3 linked regions of the Mus musculus genome follow. The protein of the gene in region 2 purifies or fractionates together with the protein of the main gene of each other region. This does not show direct contact. Links are inferred from orthologs where the notes say so. Each region holds a gene or a part of one and is shown on either strand. Other genes may lie near its edges.

Region 1 (4,250 bases), on a different chromosome or scaffold from region 2:
AGGAGCCTGGGCAAGAGCCTTGCTCCCGCCCCTCTCTCCTAATCTCGCCATCAATCTCTCACACTTATATTTATTTTTTTCTCAAATTCCCCTCCCTCCCCCACAACGAACCTCCATAATAGGTCTACTGCACATGCGTACTGAATGCAGGAGGTGGGTTTGTATTTTCAGACCTTTTGCAAAGAAACTACCAGAATTTTCCGCACCACCCACAATCATTTCCCCACCCCCATCCCCACCCCCCAAGGAATCACATCTATATATTATGTTATATTATTTCTCTAGACTTGCCAGAAGGGGGAGGGAGAAGAAATGAGGTTTTTTTCTTTAGCTTCCTGCTCCCTTCCCCCACCAACACGAATGCTATTATTTTAAACGTTCAACAATGTAAGGAGACTGGCGCGATGGGGGAAGGGATAAAAATTGGTCTTGGGTAAGAATGTAAAACAAAAATGGTGAGAATCAAAGCAGTCGCACTGAAAAACAATGGAAGGCTCTCACGAGTACAAATTCATATTCCAGAAAGAGACGAGGGCGGGCAGCCTGAACAGAGCTCCTTAAGAGGAGACTTATTTTTCCCCACACTGAGGTAGACGGATAATGAGTACGCTAAAAATATTTTCCGAAAGTTTTACCTCAGAAAGTCATCTGAGGGGGTGTATCTGGGTCATTTTGACTTGGAGGGCTGGAAGGGGGATGAAATTGCCCAGGGAGACAGAGGAGGTGAGATTTCATTTCAAACATAAAAATTCAAAAGCTTTTGACGCTTCTCAAGGATTCAAAAGCAAGGGGGGAGGGAGGACGCCACACAAAGACCCATCTCGACCTTAGGCTCGTTCATTCTCCTCTCTTACAGGCATCCAGTGCCGGGGATCAAAACCAGATCCGGAGTTCAGAACAGTTAGGCGAGAGTTACCGACGCCCTAACTCACCTGACAAGCCCCTCTCCCCTCTTTTTCACACCTTGCCGCAGGCAGCCCTGCGGGCAGCCCTCTCTCTCCTCAGGATCTTTAATTCTTCCCCCACTCCAAGGGAATCCTGAGGGCTCGCTGGAATAACTTTTTTCTAAACTTTTCCTCTTTTACAGGTAAACCTGACGAGGTTAGGGGTGAGGCTTTACCCAATACGCATTAAACACATTATTTTTAACACCCCCCACCCCCGGAAAAGCTGTCTCAACACGTGCGACAAAAAGTCACAGTGGTCAGTAAGACAGTTTTACAAATAACGTTTTAAAGTTTGGTGTGTGTGTGCTGCTCTGCCGCCAGAGACTTGGGGGTGTGGATGTCCCCAATCAGAGGTTGGCGACACCTATCCTAAAGAAGCTAGAAATCACTCTCCACTTGGAGGGTGGTCTGAGAGTTGCGCCACTGATCCAGAGAAGGGTCTGTCCCAAGCACAGCTGGACGTCCTACGCCAGTGGCAGGTGACTTGTCATCTCGGAGAAGGGTGCTGAGTGATGATGGTCAGGACAGAGCAGCTGGGTGGGCAGTTCACGCCCCCCAACGTGGTCAGGGTGTGTGGGTGGTTTCATCAAGAGAGTGACAGTGAATGGCAGCCACGTGAGAGTCACAGCTGGGCAGTTCGGCCACCCCAGACTGACGGGGTCACGAGGGGGGGATGGGGGCTGCACTTGACACAAAAGAGCCCGGGGCAGAGATGACGAGGGTGGGGCCGGGGGCATCTGGCTCCCCAGACATTCTCCTGTCTCTCTTCAAATCTGAGGTGACCCGAGACCTCGGCGGCCAGCTAGGGGGGAGTGGACGGTATGTCCAAGTCTTACTCCAGGAAGTGGTCTGCGTGGAGTGTGGCCACCACCTGCCTCTGGTCATCAGCCGCTACAAACATTCGCACGCCCCCTCCCACGCGTGCCACCGCACACCCCTAAGTTGGCGGGCACCGAAGTCCCTGCAGGTGGAGGGGCTGGTCCGCGGGCCACTGTCCCACCTCTGCTTGCCCAAGTCCCCAGCGGAGGGCGTCGGGTGGCAGTCAGCTCCACACCCCGAACCCACTCGGCTTCAGTCCGACCCCACCGGGGCCCGGCCCAAGGGGCGCTCACGCGGCCGCCCCTCCCCCACGCGCCCCTCCCCCCACGCCGCCGTCCGGTCGCCGGGGTCTCCGCGGTCCCTCGCTCGGCCTGGGAGGGGGGCCCTGGCTTCGCTACGGCCGTTTCCTGCCTACCCCCTCCCCGCCGAGGGTGAAAAAAATAAATCTCCTCCCCCGAAAGCCGCGACCAAGTGGCCCGGTCCGCGCGCGCAGCTCGCTCCCTGCGCTCTCCAGCCCGGGCGCGGCGGCGGCGGCGGCGGCGGCGGTGGCGGCGGCCGCGGTAGCGGCGGAGGAGGGGTGCGGCGGGGGAGGGGAGGAGGCCTGGCCCCAAGGCCGCCGCCGCCCGGACTGCCGGGCCCGTCTAGACCCGCCAGGCGCCCGGGACTCTCCTCGGCTCGGCCGAACCGTAGGTGCCGGGCCCCGCGGCTCCGCTCGGGCCCCGGGGAGTCGGACGGACGCTTACCTGGTGGCGGGGGCGGCGGCAGCGGCGGCGGCGGCGGCGGGAAGAGGTGGCAGCTGGGGGGGCTGTGGCGGTCGCGGCTCCGGTCGTGGCCCGGCCCGCGCCCGAGTACTCCCTCTTCGTCCTCCTCCTCATCGTCCTCGTCGGCCGCCTCCACCTCCTCCTCCTCCTCGTCGCCCTCTTCTTCCTCCTCTTCTTCCTCCTCCGACACCACCATCTCCTCCTCCTCCTCCTCCTCGTCCCTCAGAGGGGAAGCCATCCTGTGGCTCTGGCCCCCCCACCACCCCCCCACCCACCGCCCGCCCGCCTCCCCCACCGCTACCACCACCACCTCCTCCTCCTCCTCCTCCTCCTCCTCCTCCTCCTCGGCGGCGGCGTCCTCCTCCTCCTCCTCCTCACCGCCTCCCCCAGCCCCCCAAACCCCCGGGCCACCCCCCTCCAGAACACCCACCCCCGGGGCCGGCGTCTGAGGAGGGGGGCCGCACCACCCCCAAAAATGTTCTTGGAAAAATTTAAGGACTTTTTCCCCCTTCTGTCTTTCCTCCCAAGAGAACAAGAAAGGGAGATCGTTTAAAAAAAAAAAATTATATATATGTATATAAAAGTTTTCGACTTCTCTCTACCCCCCTCGGTTGCTTTAAATATATTTAAATTCTGAGGGGGGCGCTCAGAAATATTTCTCAGAGCTGAGGCACTAAGATGGCCGCCTTGAAATTATTTTTAAAACAACCCCCCCTCCAGCACTGCCACCCCCCTCTATAAAGAAAGAGAGAGGGGGGTAAAATCCCCTTTTAAAACAAAATGGCTGGCTTAATATTTCATTTTTCATACACCCCCATTCTCCCTGTTACATCCAATCTCCAAGCTTCTACTCAGAAACCCACAAATTTCTCCCTTTTTTCATAACTGATTAGTGCACAGATTAATACATTTTCCTTGTGTATTGAGAGAGAGAGAGAGAGAGAGAGAGAGAGAGAGTGTGTGTGTGTGTGTGTGTGTGTGTGTGTGTTGGGGGGCATGAAGGATTTCTGCATAAAACAAAAATGGCTGCTGTGACTTAACTCCCCCCCTTATAAAAATATTTGGGGGGGTATTAATCAGTACTCATGCTCAGTCTGACATCAGCATAAATTGTTAAAGGTTAACTAGTTAGATACTAGTCCAACTAGATTGAATTTTTCTTTTCTTTACTAGTCTTCTTCCTCCCCCCACCTCCCTTCTCTAAAGAAAAGCTTTTTTTTTTTTTTTCTGAATACTTCAGAAGGGAGTGGTTTGATGTGAAGGTTTTTTTTTTTTTTCCTTCAGGCATTGAAAAGGAAAAAGATGAAATATATGTTTATATATAACTCTCTACATACCTCATTGAAGTCAAAATGCATTTAATTGTGTACGTAGCTTTTAAATGAGAAATGGTACTGGCTTTTTTTTTTTTTCTCCTTAAAAAAAAAGTGACAGAAATCCTAGTGACTTTGGGGGGAGAGATATGAATAGATGATTGAGTTTTTTTTCCAAGGAGTCCATGTTTGATTCTCTCCTTTGCCCAGCCCTCAGTGTTCTGTGAATGTTGTCAATTTTATCTCTACTCTTTCCCTTCCTCTCCTCCAGTGGCTTGCTTGTAAAATCGTCTGACTTGAGAAATTAATTTGGTGGTGACTAGGTCAGATTTTTAGGAGAAAGAGGAGAGGGTCGGATCTGAAGATTGTGAAATTCTTTTCTCCTGTGTCATCGAACGCCTCTTCCTCCA
Region 2 (2,578 bases):
CTGAAAAGGCGTGTGGGACAAAGTTTCGAGGACCAAATGCCACAACCCCCCAAGAAAATAGTGTGTACATACCTTGGGTGGCCGTGGATCTCGCCTGGGTCCCCGCGGCAGGTGCAGGCTGTCCTGACCCCTCACCTGGGTTGGGGTGCAGGGAAGTCAGAGAGCCCAGCGACCTGCCTCGGGCCCAGCTCTCCTCTTCAGCCTCCACCACTTCTTCTTCCTCTTCTGGTTCCTCTGTACGGTGTCGCCGAGCCCGGTTGGGAAGAGCTGAAGGCAGTGGGCGGAACCCTCCATAGCTTCGGCCACCTCCAGGGTCAGCACCCTCACCATTGGGTCGTACTTCCCCAGCTCGTACACTCAGGTAGCCTAAGAGGCTTGGGGGCTCTCGGCGCTCAGCCGGAGCGGGTGCTGGGGCCAGGAGGAGTGCAGGGCCCAGTGGCTCATATGCCAGTAGGCTCAGGTCGGGAGGCTGAGGGGCCCTGGCAGGTGCAGAGCCAGGGCCTGGAGCACGCAAAGGACCCAGCTTGCTGGTGTGCACCTTCATGTGGTTCTTAAGGAACCAGGGCTCCTTGAAGCAGCGACCACATACGGGGCACGCATGATCAAAGGAGGCCTTGTGCTTGCGCATGTGACCCTTGAGAAACCAGGACTGTGTAAAGCTCTGGCCGCACACCTGGCAACGGAATTCAGGTGGCGCAGGGGGCTCCTCCGGAGGTGCAGGAGTTGGGGCAGGGTTTGCCTCCCGGTCAGGCTCTGGCCTAGGTTCAGGCTCAGGCTCAGGCTCAAGGGCAGATCTGGGTTCTTGCTGGGGTGGAGGCGGGGGTTCAGGCGTAGATGTAGCCGCCAGGGGGCGCTCGGAAGCCCCGTGGGCCGTCAGACTGTGGTGCAGCAACTCCTCCTCCTGGCTGGAGCCAAAACTGCACAAGCTGCACTTCCAGGGCCTGTGCAGGATATGCAGGTGGCGTTCCCGCTCCGCTGAGGTGCGAAACTTGCCTTTGCAGAAAGGGCAACGGAAGGCAGATGAGGAAGGGACCTGAGGGCGAGCCAGGCCCTCTGCGGCAGGGCTGGACTGCATGCCGCCTGAGCTTCTGGCTCTCCCGAGTCGGGCTTCGCGAAGCAGGGCGCGTTCCTCCAACTCCAGCAACAGCCGTGCAGCAGGGCTGCGTGGACGCTCCGGCTGGTGCGTTCGGAGGTGTGAGCGCAGCAGAGCCCGCTGCGCTGCGCGGTGGCCGCAATGTGGGCACTGGAAGGCTTGGGCGCCCGGGTGGGCTCTCAGGTGCAAAGCCAAGATGGAATTGAATCGGAAGCGCTTTCCGCACACAGGACAAGGGAAGCGCCGTTCGCCTGCACGAGTCTCAGACCAACCCACTGCTCCCATCCCAGGCGAGCCGGGTCCTGGAGTCCCACTGACACCTGGTCCGTTGGAGTAGCGCTGCAGATCCAGCTCGCCGTCGAAGGCTGGTGGGGAAGGCTCTAGGTGGCCGACCAGGATGCGGGGACGTGAGCCCTGTGGGGAAAGATGCACGTAGAGGACAGGGTGGAAAAGACCACCCTGTAGAATGTAGAAAAATGCAAAGGCACGAAGAACAGTAAGAAGAGTGTGTATGGAGGTTGGGAGATTGGGACCTAACCTAGGTACCTTGATACCTCTCACCTCCAGAAACTGTGGGATGAGTGGAAGTTGGACACCGGGGCCAAGTTAATAACGTATGCTACTATAATACGAAGTTTAAAAAACAAAGAAACAAAAAAGGAGGCAGGAGAGGGTGTCCCGCTGAAGGCACTTTGCAGGTCAAGGACAGAACTTCACTCACCTCCATGGACCCCCTTCACATTCTTTGGTTCTGAGGATTGGAAGGAGGAAGAAGAAAAGCTGCTAATGAAGGCAACAGGTGCGGAGGTGCTAAAACAAGACAGAGCGATTGGAGGAAAGATGAGCCCTGGCTTTTGGCAGTAGAGTCACCCCACTTAGCAGCCTGTATCCTTGAAACCCATCCCTTCTTCCTATTGTGATCTTGGGGTATTCCAGCCTTCTTATTTGCTGTCCTCAAAACTTGCATCCCTTCATCTGCCAACTTGTATGATAAATACAGACTTCCTCCCCCAAATGATGTTTTAAACACCTAGTCCAGAACCGCCGCCGCCACCACACACACACACACACACACACACACACACACACAATGTGGGAGGCCATCATAGTATACCCCTCTTCCACTCGCGTTGGGCTGTGCCCCTGGATAAACAAATGTGGAGGGCTAGCCATACTCCTGTTATCCAAATGGTACTAGCTCCTCTCAGACCAGGGCCAGCCAGCCAGAAGCCCTCCAGGTTCCTCCTCCTAGCTTCTGCCGGCACCCAGTCTTCTGGTCTTCCTCCTCCCCCTCCCCCTTCCTGGATTCCTGATCCATTCATTTCCATTCATTACAGAGACTCATTCATGCATGGGAGAGAAACACCTCCCAGCAGCAGAGTCTGGAGACAGAGGGGGAGGGGCGTGAAGGGAGAGCCAGCTACAGAGGGAATGAAGAGAGTTGGGGGGAGGCCTGGAAGTTAAGGGGCACTACCAGTCTAGGGA
Region 3 (4,240 bases), on a different chromosome or scaffold from region 2:
TTTTCTCCAGGACTTGGGGGTCTGTCCCAGCAGTGCCACTTGGCTGTAGGACCAGCCAAGGCTCTTCCAGGCCTCAGTTTCTCTACTTGTTTGAGGCCATATTTCCCAATGGAAGGGTTAAAGGCTTTGGGAATGCCCTTAGAGGAGTGGGGATACAGAAAGAATGAGAAGTACCCCCCATACTGGTGGAGGACCTCAAGCCTATTTTCCACCACCCCGGAGGAGTGGAGATAAACCTGACTTTGCGTCAAAGCCAGCACCATATGCAGTATTAGGGAAGGTGTCTGTCTCCCCCACCCCCCGGGAGGGATTCAGGGTGGAAGGGGGCTCCTCCGCCCATCATGCCCCCTTCTTCCGGAAGACACCGGCACCTGGGCTGAAGGAGGCCAGGGAGGCGGTTCCACGTCAGCTCAGCCGGTGTGGAGCATCTCAGACAATGAGCGCAGTGTGAGAGAGCTGAGAGGGCTTGGCAGAGGCCAGGAAGCTCCTGGGGCCAGGCTCAGCTCCCCGCCCCCATGCCAGACAAAGAGCGGCCTGGGCCTGGGGAGCTGGCGGCCTTCCCGCCACTTGGGGCGCCCTGGGGGGGGGGGGCTCTCGGGCGGGGGAAGGCGGGGGCTTTGTCTAACTCCGCCACTGCCACTGCCGGCCAGGCCGCAGCTTGGCAACTCAGTGAGCAGGAGGCAGGCCTGGAGGGCGTGAGAGATGATGACAGGGAAGGCGGAGGAGCCACTGTGAGAGTCCATCTTGGATGCAGATGGCAGGGGAGAGAAGGGCTTTCTGCAAAGTAATACCGGCAAGCGGGCGGGCCCCCACCAAAATGCCGAACACCTGGAGACCCCCGCACGCATCCTGGCATTCCCCATTGGCAAAATAACTACAGCTGAATACAGGTGCTAGCAAGCCCAGAACAGGGCTTCAGAGTCCCAGGGGCGGTCTGCACTGGGACCCACACCCCAAAAGGTCCCCAGTGTAAGACACACGGGAAACTAGCCCAGATCAAGCCTACGTCTCTGGTCTCCCTAGGGCTGGCAACGCAACCTACTGCCCTTCCATCCCAAACACTGACCAAGAAGACTGAGAGGCAAAAATCATATCTGACGACAAATCCTGTCACCCAAAGGGAGTGAAACCATTTGAAAAGATACAGTGACTGCATGCTCTTGGGGGGGGGGGGTCTTTGTGCCCACGTGCTAGCGTTTCAACTCTCCCAGGCTGGCACCCTAAATCTCAACCTTTTCCAAACCCCAAAGAGCAGAGAAGTGGTTTAAAACACACGTCCAGAGCTTTTCCAGGTCCCTCTGAGGGTTTCTGGAGTTCTGGAATCAACATTTGGACACAAGACCTCCAACTTGGAAGTGCCAACGCGGGTGGGATTTTTAACACACAGCGACCATAACCAACTTCTACCCCCAACTCCTCCCAAAGGCCTTATCCCTCCTGGTCCCCACTACTTGGCATCTGTTGGGGCATCAGACTACTTGGGGTGGTCTGCTCACAGCCAAATGTCTGGGAGGAGAGGGTACTGGAATTGGACACAAAGCCAGTCACCTCTGGAAGTCAGTTTCACATCCCTATTCCGGGTTCCCTTGGGGTCCGGGGCTAGCCCCCAGCCACAGCCCAAAGCTGCCTGGGAACTTTGCAAGAGTTTCCTCGGCGGCGCCCAGGCCCGGAGGGGAAGGGAGACCAGGTCCACTTGGCTTGCGCAGCGCGGCCCTGCGGGGACGTCCCCACGTGGGAGATCTGAGATGGGGACCCCCGGGACCGGCGAGCCGCAGCATGCCGCCCACAGAACCCACGAGGCCGGGGCACTGCAACTTCTTCCAAGGGGTCTCCCGAGGGCCGGGGGAAGGAACCCGGGAGTCGCTCTCATCGCCAGGAAGCGGCCCCTGCCCACCGGGCCCGCCGCCCGGAACCCTGGCCAGATTCCCTCCCGGGCCCGCGGCCGCCCTGCACCCGGCTCGGCCCCAGCCTGTCCCGCTCCGCCGACCCTCCGAGCCCCGCTCCTTGCTCACTGCGTCGCCCGCCTCCCGCCGGCAGGGGCCCTCGCCGAGCCGCCCAAAAAGCCTAAGGGAAGGGGAAAGAAAAAGGGGGGGAGCTGGGGGGGGGGAGCCTTCCTCGCTCGGCTGCCCGCGTCCTCGCTTCCCCGCCATCCGCGGCCGCCCCGCCGCTCACACCGGGAGCCCCCGGCCGCTGCCCCGCCGAGCTCCGGGCGCACCGCGAACTTTGGCAGCGCAGCGGAGGCGGCGGAATCATGGCGGCGGCGGCGCGGCTGAGTCGGCGGCGGTGGCGTTCCCGCTGCCCCGGCCCGGGACACCTCCTTCCCTCCGCCCCGTTCCCTCGCGCCACCATCCTCGGCCAGCACGCCCGCCCAAGGCACCGCGCGCCTCCGGGGAGCCCCGGGCCGCGGCCCGGAGCGCGAGCCCCCAACTTGGCGACACTTGCGGCGCGGGGCGGCGCGCGCGGCCCGCGCTCGCTCGCTCTCACTCACCGGCGTTGAGGGCGGCGGCGGGCATGTGCGCGGTCAAGTTCGGCTTGTACGACATCCCCGCGGGCGGCGGGCGCGCCGGGCAGAGCCGGGCCAGGCCGCGAGCGCGCCGGCGAGGCCGAGGCCGAGGCCCGGGCCGGGCGGCCCCACGTCCCCGCAGCCGTCCGAGCGCCCGCCGGGAGCCCGCGCACTTTTTGTTGTCGCCGGCTCGGGCCGCGCCGGCAAATATGGCCGTCCCTCACCCTGCCGCCGCCGCCGCCGCCGCCGCCGCAGTAGATCACCCATACATCGGGCGCGCGGCGCAGGGGCGGCCGCAAACTTTGAGCCCAGCCGGTCGGTGCTGGGCCGGGGCCGGACCGGGAGGGGGCGGCGGGCGTCGAGGGGGCGGCTCCTCTCGCGGCCGCGCCCCGCGCTGCGCCGCCGCCCGCAACTTGCCAAAGTTTGGGGGGCTGCGGTCCCCGCGGCGCCCCCGCCGCGCCCCGGCCTCCCGCGCGCCGCTCATTGGCCCGCGCCTTCCTCTTTTCTTAAACAGCCAGGGAGGATGGAAGAAGTACTTTTTTTTTTCCTTCTTCTTCTTCTCAGTGTCTCTTGACTGTGGGGGCAGGGATGGAAAATTACCTGGAGAAAATGGTGGCGATTGGGGTGATTTGGTTTTGGTTTTTTTGGGTTTCTTTTTCTTTTTGGTTTTGGTTTTTTTTGTTGTTTTTTGTTTTTTTGTTTTTTTTTTAATTCACGGAAATCATTCCAGATGCCCACGTCTGGCTCTATCCCAGAATTAGAATAACCCATTCTTGACATTTATTTCGAGACGGGGAAAAAAAAAATGTCATGTCTCTGCTTGGATTAAGTGAGTTTGTTTTTTTTTTTTTTTAACCCTTTGGGAACCCAAGACGCCTTTGAGACTGACAAAAGCTGGATGGAGAGACAACGACACCTCCACTAGAAAATTCGCTCTTGCATCCGTCATGACGTTTGTCACACGAACTCTTTGGAATATTTCAACCGAGCACCTACTGTGTGCCCGACACGGTTTTTATAGGCTAAGGAGGCAAGAGTGAACTTGGCAAAGTTTCGACTCCCCGGAGTTTGCACTCCATTTTTTTTTTTTTTTTTGGACCCCTCTTCCCCTCCCCACCCCACCCTATCCCGCCCCACACACGCCCCCGCCCATCTCTAAACTGACTGAAACGTCACAACCAAACGTATTTGGGATGTGATGAATAACCTTCCAAAGGTACTATATTTTGGAGTTCTGCCTGCATAGTAATGCTCATCACATTACATAAAACGCCCACCTTTTTCTGTTGTTTTTAATCGCCATGGTTTGCAGGTTTTTTTTTTTTTTAATTAGTCATATTTAGACATCATCTGTGGATCTGGTGACAACGGCGTCAGCCTCTCCGCTAGAGAAAAAAAGGGGACCACCACCGGGGTCTTAATCCCCCCTTCTTTGGGACGAAAGGTGCAGAAGAGGGGACCTCCTCTTCCACCCTCCCCCACCACCACCAGCAGCACCCTTAGGCTCCTTCTGGCAAACTGCTTCCTGGTGACATTTTTCTCTTATAAAGAAACAAATGCTACCCATTCTACAATGGCTGGTAAAAATATATAAAGCAAGTCACATACATAAATTTAAATGTTTCACTAATCAATTTTTGAAAGCAGAACGTAGCATAAAATTAATTCTAGTAATGTATTTAACACAACTGGACCTAAAACAGGACAATTTAAATTCATAATGAATGAATACACAAA

What was found. The genes of interacting proteins can lie anywhere in the genome.
Region 1: the proteins of Zfp219 (region 2) and Chd3 purify together in Homo sapiens (affinity purification with mass spectrometry; 3 studies listed by BioGRID and IntAct, counting the BioPlex papers as one, with this or other methods). This does not show direct contact. The link is inferred for Mus musculus from reciprocal best matches to the Homo sapiens genes ZNF219 and CHD3.
Region 3: the proteins of Zfp219 (region 2) and Cdk2ap1 purify together in Homo sapiens (affinity purification with mass spectrometry; 3 studies listed by BioGRID and IntAct, counting the BioPlex papers as one, with this or other methods). This does not show direct contact. The link is inferred for Mus musculus from reciprocal best matches to the Homo sapiens genes ZNF219 and CDK2AP1.

What each region holds. Positions count from the first base shown.
Region 1 is NC_000077.6:69,366,627-69,370,876, forward strand, and holds the start of Chd3 (chromodomain-helicase-DNA-binding protein 3), read right to left. Parts: upstream 2,801-4,250; 5' UTR 2,766-2,800; coding exon 2,510-2,765; intron 2,453-2,509; exon of another isoform or gene 2,364-2,452; intron 1,095-2,363; exon of another isoform or gene 933-1,094; intron 1-932.
Region 2 is NC_000080.6:52,008,156-52,010,733, forward strand, and holds part of Zfp219 (zinc finger protein 219), read right to left. Parts: exon of another isoform or gene 1,904-2,578; 5' UTR 1,821-1,903; coding exon 1,815-1,820; intron 1,508-1,814; coding exon 73-1,507; intron 1-72. UniProt on the Homo sapiens protein: Transcriptional regulator. Recognizes and binds 2 copies of the core DNA sequence motif 5'-GGGGG-3'. Binds to the HMGN1 promoter and may repress HMGN1 expression. Regulates SNCA expression in primary cortical neurons.
Region 3 is NC_000071.6:124,351,829-124,356,068, forward strand, and holds the start of Cdk2ap1 (cyclin-dependent kinase 2-associated protein 1), read right to left. Parts: upstream 2,801-4,240; 5' UTR 2,544-2,800; coding exon 2,489-2,543; intron 1-2,488. UniProt on the Homo sapiens protein: Inhibitor of cyclin-dependent kinase CDK2. Also acts as a component of the histone deacetylase NuRD complex which participates in the remodeling of chromatin.